Arabidopsis thaliana: one gene and its partner. The protein of the gene in region 1 interacts with the protein of each later gene in a biochemical or structural test. Each region holds a gene or a part of one and is shown on either strand. Other genes may lie near its edges.

What was found.
Region 2: of the proteins of ACS5 (region 1) and CK1, one has a biochemical effect on the other in vitro, tested with the Arabidopsis thaliana proteins (one study listed by BioGRID).

The regions. Positions count from the first base shown.
Region 1 is NC_003076.8:26,330,868-26,334,800, forward strand, and holds the start of ACS5 (ACC synthase 5), read right to left. Parts: upstream 1,946-3,933; 5' UTR 1,832-1,945; coding exon 1,553-1,831; intron 1,449-1,552; coding exon 1,288-1,448; intron 1,202-1,287; coding exon 229-1,201; 3' UTR 1-228. UniProt on the Arabidopsis thaliana protein: 1-aminocyclopropane-1-carboxylate synthase (ACS) enzymes catalyze the conversion of S-adenosyl-L-methionine (SAM) into 1-aminocyclopropane-1-carboxylate (ACC), a direct precursor of ethylene.
Region 2 is NC_003075.7:13,228,906-13,232,838, reverse strand, and holds the start of CK1 (casein kinase 1), read left to right. Parts: upstream 1-2,041; 5' UTR 2,042-2,330; coding exon 2,331-2,406; intron 2,407-2,500; coding exon 2,501-2,541; intron 2,542-2,689; coding exon 2,690-2,759; intron 2,760-2,851; coding exon 2,852-3,000; intron 3,001-3,091; coding exon 3,092-3,187; intron 3,188-3,279; coding exon 3,280-3,350; intron 3,351-3,456; coding exon 3,457-3,518; intron 3,519-3,637; coding exon 3,638-3,701; intron 3,702-3,790; coding exon 3,791-3,875; intron 3,876-3,933. Other genes in the region: NAP1;1 (nucleosome assembly protein1;1), read right to left, coding at 82-127. UniProt on the Arabidopsis thaliana protein: Casein kinases are operationally defined by their preferential utilization of acidic proteins such as caseins as substrates. It can phosphorylate a large number of proteins.

The DNA of each region.
Region 1 (3,933 bases):
AAAACATATAATAACACATAGTAACAATTTTACACCCGAAAAATTGCATAAATTAAAGACTCACCCAAACATTAAAAAAAATATTACATATATAATGATATGATTATAGATATCTTGGAAAATTAAAAATACTTTCCCAAAATATAAAAAATGAAGGAAATAAAGAAGAAGAAAAAACCGTGAAGTTTTCTTTTGTTCGTCGTCTCAAACTTAGGGAGATGAATAATTTCATCGTTCATCAGGTACACGATCGGTCCATGAAACCCGGAAAACCCAGTTAGAGACTGTCTTCTTCCTCAAACTCTTGAGCCTTTCATGGCTGCTTCTTGATATCATTCGTCCACAGTCTGTGGATTCTACGAAAGTTTTGAGCCTCTTCAAGGCCAAATCGAGTGTGTCCTCGCTCATATTAGCGAAACAAACCCTAAACCAACCCGGTTCGGTGCAGTGACATGAAGAACCGGGTGATATGTTTAGTTTCACGTTGTAAACAATCTTTTTCCAGAGGTCAAGCTCTGCTTCAAATGTGTTTGTGTCCAAAAGGTGTCTCATGTCGACCCAACAGAACAAACCCGCGTTGCTTCTCAGGCAAGTAATCCCTGCAGACTCAAGACCAGACACGAGGCGTCTCTGTCTGGACTTGAGTCGTTTCTGGTTCTCTTCGAGGTATTGGCTAGTGAACTTCTTGTCGGAGAGCAATGCAGAGAGAAGGTATTGTGTCTGAGAAGAAACAAGACCAAAACTTGACATTTTTGTAGCTGCTGAAACGATCATTTCGTCGTTGGAGTAGATCGCTCCCACACGGAAACCAGGAAGTCCCAGATCTTTAGAAAGGCTATAAACGACGTGGACTCGTTTTGAAACCTCCGTGTCTTCGAGTTTCTTGTCTTTCAAGACATCCATTACGCTTATGAACTGTTCAAACCCGAACATAGTGCCTGAATAGATCTCGTCGCTAATGAGATGAATGTTCTTGGAAGTGATGAAGTCAACGAGAAGGTTAAGTTCACGTCTGGTCAACGCAGTGCCAAGTGGGTTAGATGGATTCGTGACAAGAACTCCTTTGACTTTGAGATCAAGTTTCTGGGCTTGTTGGTAAGCTTGTTGCAGAGCTGATTCCGTGATTTGGAAGCCATTAGAGCTTGAGCAGTGAATGGGTACTATCTCTGCTCCGGTTCTCCATTTAAGATCTCTATCAAATCTGTAATCATAAAAAAGCCTAGACGTAAGCATATATTTCTATTGGGTTTACTTGGAATCCAAGTAAAGAGGAGAAGTGTAATTTACCCAGGATAGTAAGGAGTAGGCAAAAGGAAAGCATCGCCAGGCTCTGCAAGGCAAAACATGAGAGTCTCATTCGCAGATGTCGAACCAGCCGCTAAAACAATCTTTTTTGGATCGAACGTGACACGGTTTCCTCTTATCTCTTCCATAAACTCAGCCATAGCCTGTAAAAAATGACAGAAAATGTTCATGAGAAATGGATTCATTACTTGTGATACACGTCAGGTTACTCTCTTTATTGAATTTGAGAAAAATGAAAGAAGCTTACTTTTTTGAATTCAGGCATGCCATGATAGTCTTGAAATAGAGCAAGCTCTCTGAAAATGGATTGACCGTTCCTCTTGAGACTTGCCGCGTCTGGGTTCTTAGTTAACCATGACTCGATTAGATCGAAACATAGCTGGTTTTCGGCTAGACCCATCTGGATCATCCCATTAGGGTTCTTGATCTCATCATAAGGATTCTTCTCGTACTCTTCCCATCCCAAGAAGTAGGATGAGTCTTGTCCATGACCATTGCTTGTCACTTTTGTCGAAAGCTGTTTCATTCTCTGTTTTTAAAGTCAAGAGATTTTGGTCGTAGAGAAGACTAATGTGGGTGAAGGAGAGAACGAAAAGAAGAGATCTTGAATTAGGGTTTAAGTTGGTGAAGAGTGAGATGTGGTTGGAGAAGCAATGGGTCTGTTGGGATATATATATATATAGATAATAATAATCTAACGACATTTAATTTCAAAAATAAAATGTGACAACAGAATCAGAAACTAGAGAGACTTTTTTGACCGTCCAGACATTACCATAGTTTTTAGTAAATATTCTCCAAGACATGTGAGACAACTTCTTTTATTATTTAATGCGATCTCCAATAATTAACAAGCTATATTATTTAATACAAAATAAACAATTAAAACATTGCAGTAGTTCTTGTTTCTTTTTGAAAATAAGAATGATCTATTATTGAGTTTCTATTTATTATTGCATTCACACATACAGCAATAAATCTTAGGATTATGTTTAAATAAAAATAAAAAAACCAGCTCTACATAGGGACAAAATTAAATAACACATTTTGAGCTTCTTTCCAAAATTTATTTGATCGTTTTCTAGGATTCAAGCATATTTAATAATAATTCTACAAATTAATAGTACTAAAATGATTAGTCTTTACGCGTTTCCGTCACCGCCGGACCGTCCTTATTATGACCATCATTTAGGGACCAAACATAGCAATTTAAAAAGAAACCTCAAATGTAATTAACTTTTTGTTGTTGTTGTATAAACTGAATCACTATGCTTATGATTAGTTTAGTCGTCCATTCACGATGTCAGCTACAAAATTGGCTGTGTGAAGTTGGATAGAAAAAAGAACCAACATTAATTTATATTCTACTTCTTGTCCAATACTAATGCCAAATAATTACTATTTATAGACTGCTAAAATTTTATATGTCGTATAATGTGAGTATTTTGCTGAAAAAAACTGTGAGCATTTTATGTAACTTTAGTTATCAGATTCTGTAATTAAGTGTCAACACGTTGACTTAGAAAATATTAACAAAATAAAATAGGGTGGTAAACGTAAAATTGGAAAACAAGGAAATGACATACAAGAAAAATGAACAGAGACAAGTGGAGCTAGGGGAGTCAAATGTAATGTCATACCGACATCAAATCGTCTAAAGTAATCCTGTATACCTATGCATCTACGTATGTATACATTTATACGGCTAAAATACATTTATTTATACGGTAGAGGGTAAGTCAAATAGGACCATTTATGCTCCCTAAACTCTAGTAGTCCCAAATGTCTTGGTCCGCAATTTTTTTTCGTTTTCTCTTCCTCTATCATTGACAACAACTTATTTATTTGGTGGGATCGGATACATACAAATATGTTTTTTACTGACTAGGATGTTTTCAGTCTTGTAATTATCGACAGGTTAACCGGAGTTGTAATTAGTTTTTTTTTTTTTTTGGTTAAAGGGTTTTGGAGTTAGTTTCATGTGAATTATGCGGTATTCACTGACGTAGACTGATCTCCAATACCAATAGAATAAATGATGATAGTTTAGCATAATTGTGTTGGTCCGCAGTTTATGTAAAAATAAATGTTGAGTCAGATATTGTTGCAGATATATTGATATAGTTACTTTGATCATGGGTGAAATAATGAGTTTGGATGGTTATCATAATAAAAACATAAACACAAATTTTTTGTAGAATACAATTTTCCTACTAGTTGAATTGAGCTTTAGTTGTATATATCTTCATCCTGTTTTTTTTTTTAAAATGTATACAAATCAAAGAAATAAACATATTGTTTATTATATAAACTCGAAACTTTATTTAAAATAAGCTACTAGTAGAATGCACAAATATTTCTTGAAACATGAGATTTTCAAAATAAAAATCATAAAAATGATGTGCAATGAGTGATTCAGTTTTGGACCTAGAATGATTAGTATAAGAGCATAATATTTAATCAATCAAATTGAGTTATATTAACATAAAAATCAGGTGGACGATATCAAAACCCATGTTGGTGGCCGTTGGTTATAACTTATACCCCCAGATTTGTAGGCGACGTTGTTCGTTTAAGTTTGACTCCAACTATTAACTAACTTAACTGGAATATTCTTTGGTAGATGTA
Region 2 (3,933 bases), on another chromosome or scaffold:
CAGAGGAAATTAGGGTTAAAGCAGCTCTGGCTTAAGAGGCGGAGAAAGAGATAAGAGTAATCGTGAGTAGGAGTATTTTACCAGCAGTAAGATCGGAGACGTTGAAGCTATCCTTGTCGTTGCTCATCTTCTGAGGATTTGGTGAAGAGAGAGATTTTGAAGAAGAAGAAGCAGAAGAGACTAGGGACAAGGGTTTTGGGGAGGCGACTCGTAACCCTTAAATCCTCTTTGTTTTTTTGTTTTTTTCTCTCCCTCCTTTTCACACCAAAATTATAACAAATGCCATTTTAGTTTTTTCTCTTTTTATATATACTTTTCTTTCTCTAAAAATTGATGTTTAATGTTTTAAAAAGCAAAATTAAGTTTATTGAATTAAATAACATGCAAAACTTTACATACATATATATATGGATAATGAGAACTGACTTATATATAGATAATTAAAGTTTATTTATGAATTCAATCAATTATAAATATATATAACTAATATATAAACTTTAATTATCTATATAATTAAAATTTTGCATGTAATTATATTAATTATCTATATACTTATATATATATATATACACTTATATATATTTGATTCTTCACCAAATACAGTACAGGTTAGTGAACTTTAATGGGATCAAATAGAAGATTTCTGAATCTGTTAGTACTAAGGCCCATCCCAAGAATGAGCCTTCCAAGCCCAATACACTGATTACTTCTTTTGTTCACATACACTGTACATACTAATTAAAAACAAAAAACAGTCCACAACAAAAACAAAAAAACAGTCCACAACAAAAAGTCATATCCCAAAAGGCACAAAGATCTTTAGTTTGGTTTAAGCTCATCCCGAGTTCAAACGAATTAAACGTACTCTAATCTAGATTAGCTCATCACGACATTTTCAATTTGAAGTTTCAACCTTTTATACGTCTGACCAGAAACACAATAAAGAAGCCTCACGCGTAGCATTTTTTTTTAACCAGAAAACCATGAGACAAATTCAACCTAATCAGATAACTGTAAATCATTTCATTCATCCTATTAAAAGCAAAGGTGAAAAGCTTTTTGTACCTCCACGACTCCCACTTAAGAGAAACATTTTGTAGAGCTTTCAAGTCACGCGTAGCAAACACACCTGGTAAGTGGTCAATCTTTTTATATCATATAGCCATCATAAGAGTATCATTAATAGTAGTTTCTTAGCATAATCTTAATAGTTCTTATGAATATTTTTATAATTGATTTTGAAAATTTTGAAGTTAAGAATTTAGTTAAGAGATTGAAATTTTGGCAATATGCAATGGTGGACTCTTAACTTGAGTTCTTAAAAAAAAAATTGGAAAAAAAGTAGAAACATTATAATTTTAAAAAACTTAATAATTATTACAACTCAAAAAATTTGAAACATACATAACATAAAATTTTAAACAAATATGACAAACAATTAGATTTAATACTTAATTTATCTAAGAATTAAGATTAATTGAATTAAAACATTATATTTAATACCTAATTTATCTAAGAATTAACCTAAGAAACATTAGATTTGGCTCTTATATAAGAGTCATTTTTAACAATTAATTGAATTATAACATTAAATTTAAGACCTACTTTATCTAAGAACTAACCTTATAAACTATGAATAATGATGGTCTAAGCGCGCTTGTTGTTGAAACTCTCAAATAAACCGGATAATTTTAAAACCAGGTTTAGTTTAGTTGGTAGATTCGGCTCAAATAGTAGTATTTTTGTGGATTTAAAGATGCTCAGCATGTATATACATATGTGTTCTATAGATGTTTTACACATTTTTTCTATTTTACTATTCTGCTTGCCATAATCATTAGATTGTTTGGTTGAACCGAAGCATAGAAACCAAACCGAACATAGCACACAGCAACAAAACCGGAATCATTCAGAGGTAAATAATTTTTTTACATTACCCGCAACTGCAAGGAAAGAGGAAAAAAAAAAAGACGCAAACTTTGAGAAAGACATCCTCATCGTTTTCTGTCCATCGAAGCTCTTTTTTTTTTTTTTTTTTTTTATCTTCGTATTCAATTCTTGAGAGGAGAGAGAGAGAGAGAAGCATCCCAGAAAACGACATTCTGTTCATATGGAGTTTTTTCACCAGATCGAGAGCACGAAGAAGATGATTACTGGGTTTTGATTTAGTCGGCGAAAAATCCGTAATCTCATTGTTCGTGATCTCTGGGTTGTTTTTCTGGATTGCTGGTGCGGCTGATTCTAGTCAGGATTGTTTTTGGGGTCCCTTTCGCTCTATTTGAATCTGCGTCTGGGTTGTTAAGATTGTACAAGGGGTTTCGTGGTTATTTATGGAACCTCGTGTGGGGAACAAGTTTCGTCTCGGCCGAAAGATCGGTAGTGGTTCGTTTGGAGAGATCTATCTCGGTTCGTCTCTCTCTCACTTTCTAGTTTTTAATTTTATGGATTATCGAATTCGTCACATTATCTCTAACATTGTTGTTAACCTGTGATTTTCCAGGTACTAATATTCATACGAATGAAGAACTGGCTATTAAGCTTGTGAGTTCTTCAGTCATCCCATTTTAATAATTTGATGATCAAAAAGTTTATGGATTTATAAGTAACATTATCACAATATGTTTAGTTTGATCAAGTTCAGTATGTTGAAAAGCTGAGATTTTGATTCTCTTTGTTTTTGTTTTCCCAGGAAAATGTGAAGACAAAACATCCACAGCTGCTCTATGAATCGAAGTTATACAGGATTCTACAAGGGGGAAGTAATGATTCTTATCTTCTGAATGAGATATTGATTTCTGATAATGTAAAGTTTGTGTTACTTATGACCTTTCTTTTGCCTTAACTTTGGTAGCTGGTGTTCCAAATGTCAAATGGTTTGGTGTTGAAGGGGACTATAATGTTTTGGTGATGGATCTACTCGGACCAAGTCTTGAAGATCTCTTCAATTTTTGTAGCAGGAAACTTTCATTGAAGTCTGTCCTCATGCTTGCTGATCAAATGGTATACTTCTTCATGTGACGCCTTTCTTTCATTTGCTCCTCTATGTTTCAGGAAATATTGACTTCTTTCTTCCTTTGGTTTTTGTGATAAGATCAACCGTGTTGAGTTTTTTCATTCAAAGTCTTTCCTTCACCGAGATCTTAAGCCAGACAACTTCCTCATGGGCCTTGGAAGGCGTGCGAACCAGGTTTATCATCTTATTGTCTTAACTATATCCTTTTGGTCTTATTTTACTTTTGGAGACATCATTGTATTGACCAAGTTTAATCCTTCTCTAAGGTATACATCATTGACTTTGGTCTTGCTAAGAAGTATAGGGATAGTACAACACATCAGCACATTCCCTACAGGTGAGGCGATCATTGTATCAGCTCTTGAATGTTCTTCCCTTGAGCATGATTCCGTTGTTATGTGATGACTGGAAACGCTAATTTTTCCCATGATTCTCATTTGCAGGGAAAATAAAAACCTGACAGGAACTGCGAGATATGCTAGTATGAACACTCACTTGGGAATTGGTAAGCTCGACAAGACCTGCTTCATGTTAATTTGTTCCAGTCACTCTCCTTATGTGTTTGAGTTATAAGGTTTGATACTCATCAGCTGTTATTTGTTTTCTGGCATTGCGAACCTGAAGAACAAAGTCGAAGGGATGATCTTGAGTCTCTTGGTTACATCCTTATGTATTTCCTCAAAGGAAGGTGAGTTTATGCTACATGCCTCACACTCTCTTCACTTTATTTCCCTAACTTCTTCAGTTTGATTGATGTGTGGAATATCTCTGTTTTAGTCTTCCATGGCAAGGACTGAAAGCTGGAACCAAAAAGCAAAAGTATGAAAGGATTAGTGAAAAGAAAGTTTCTACATCCATTGAGGTAAGTTCATTTCACAAGTATGCTACATTTTTACTCAGATTTTTGTTTCCCTCATTCT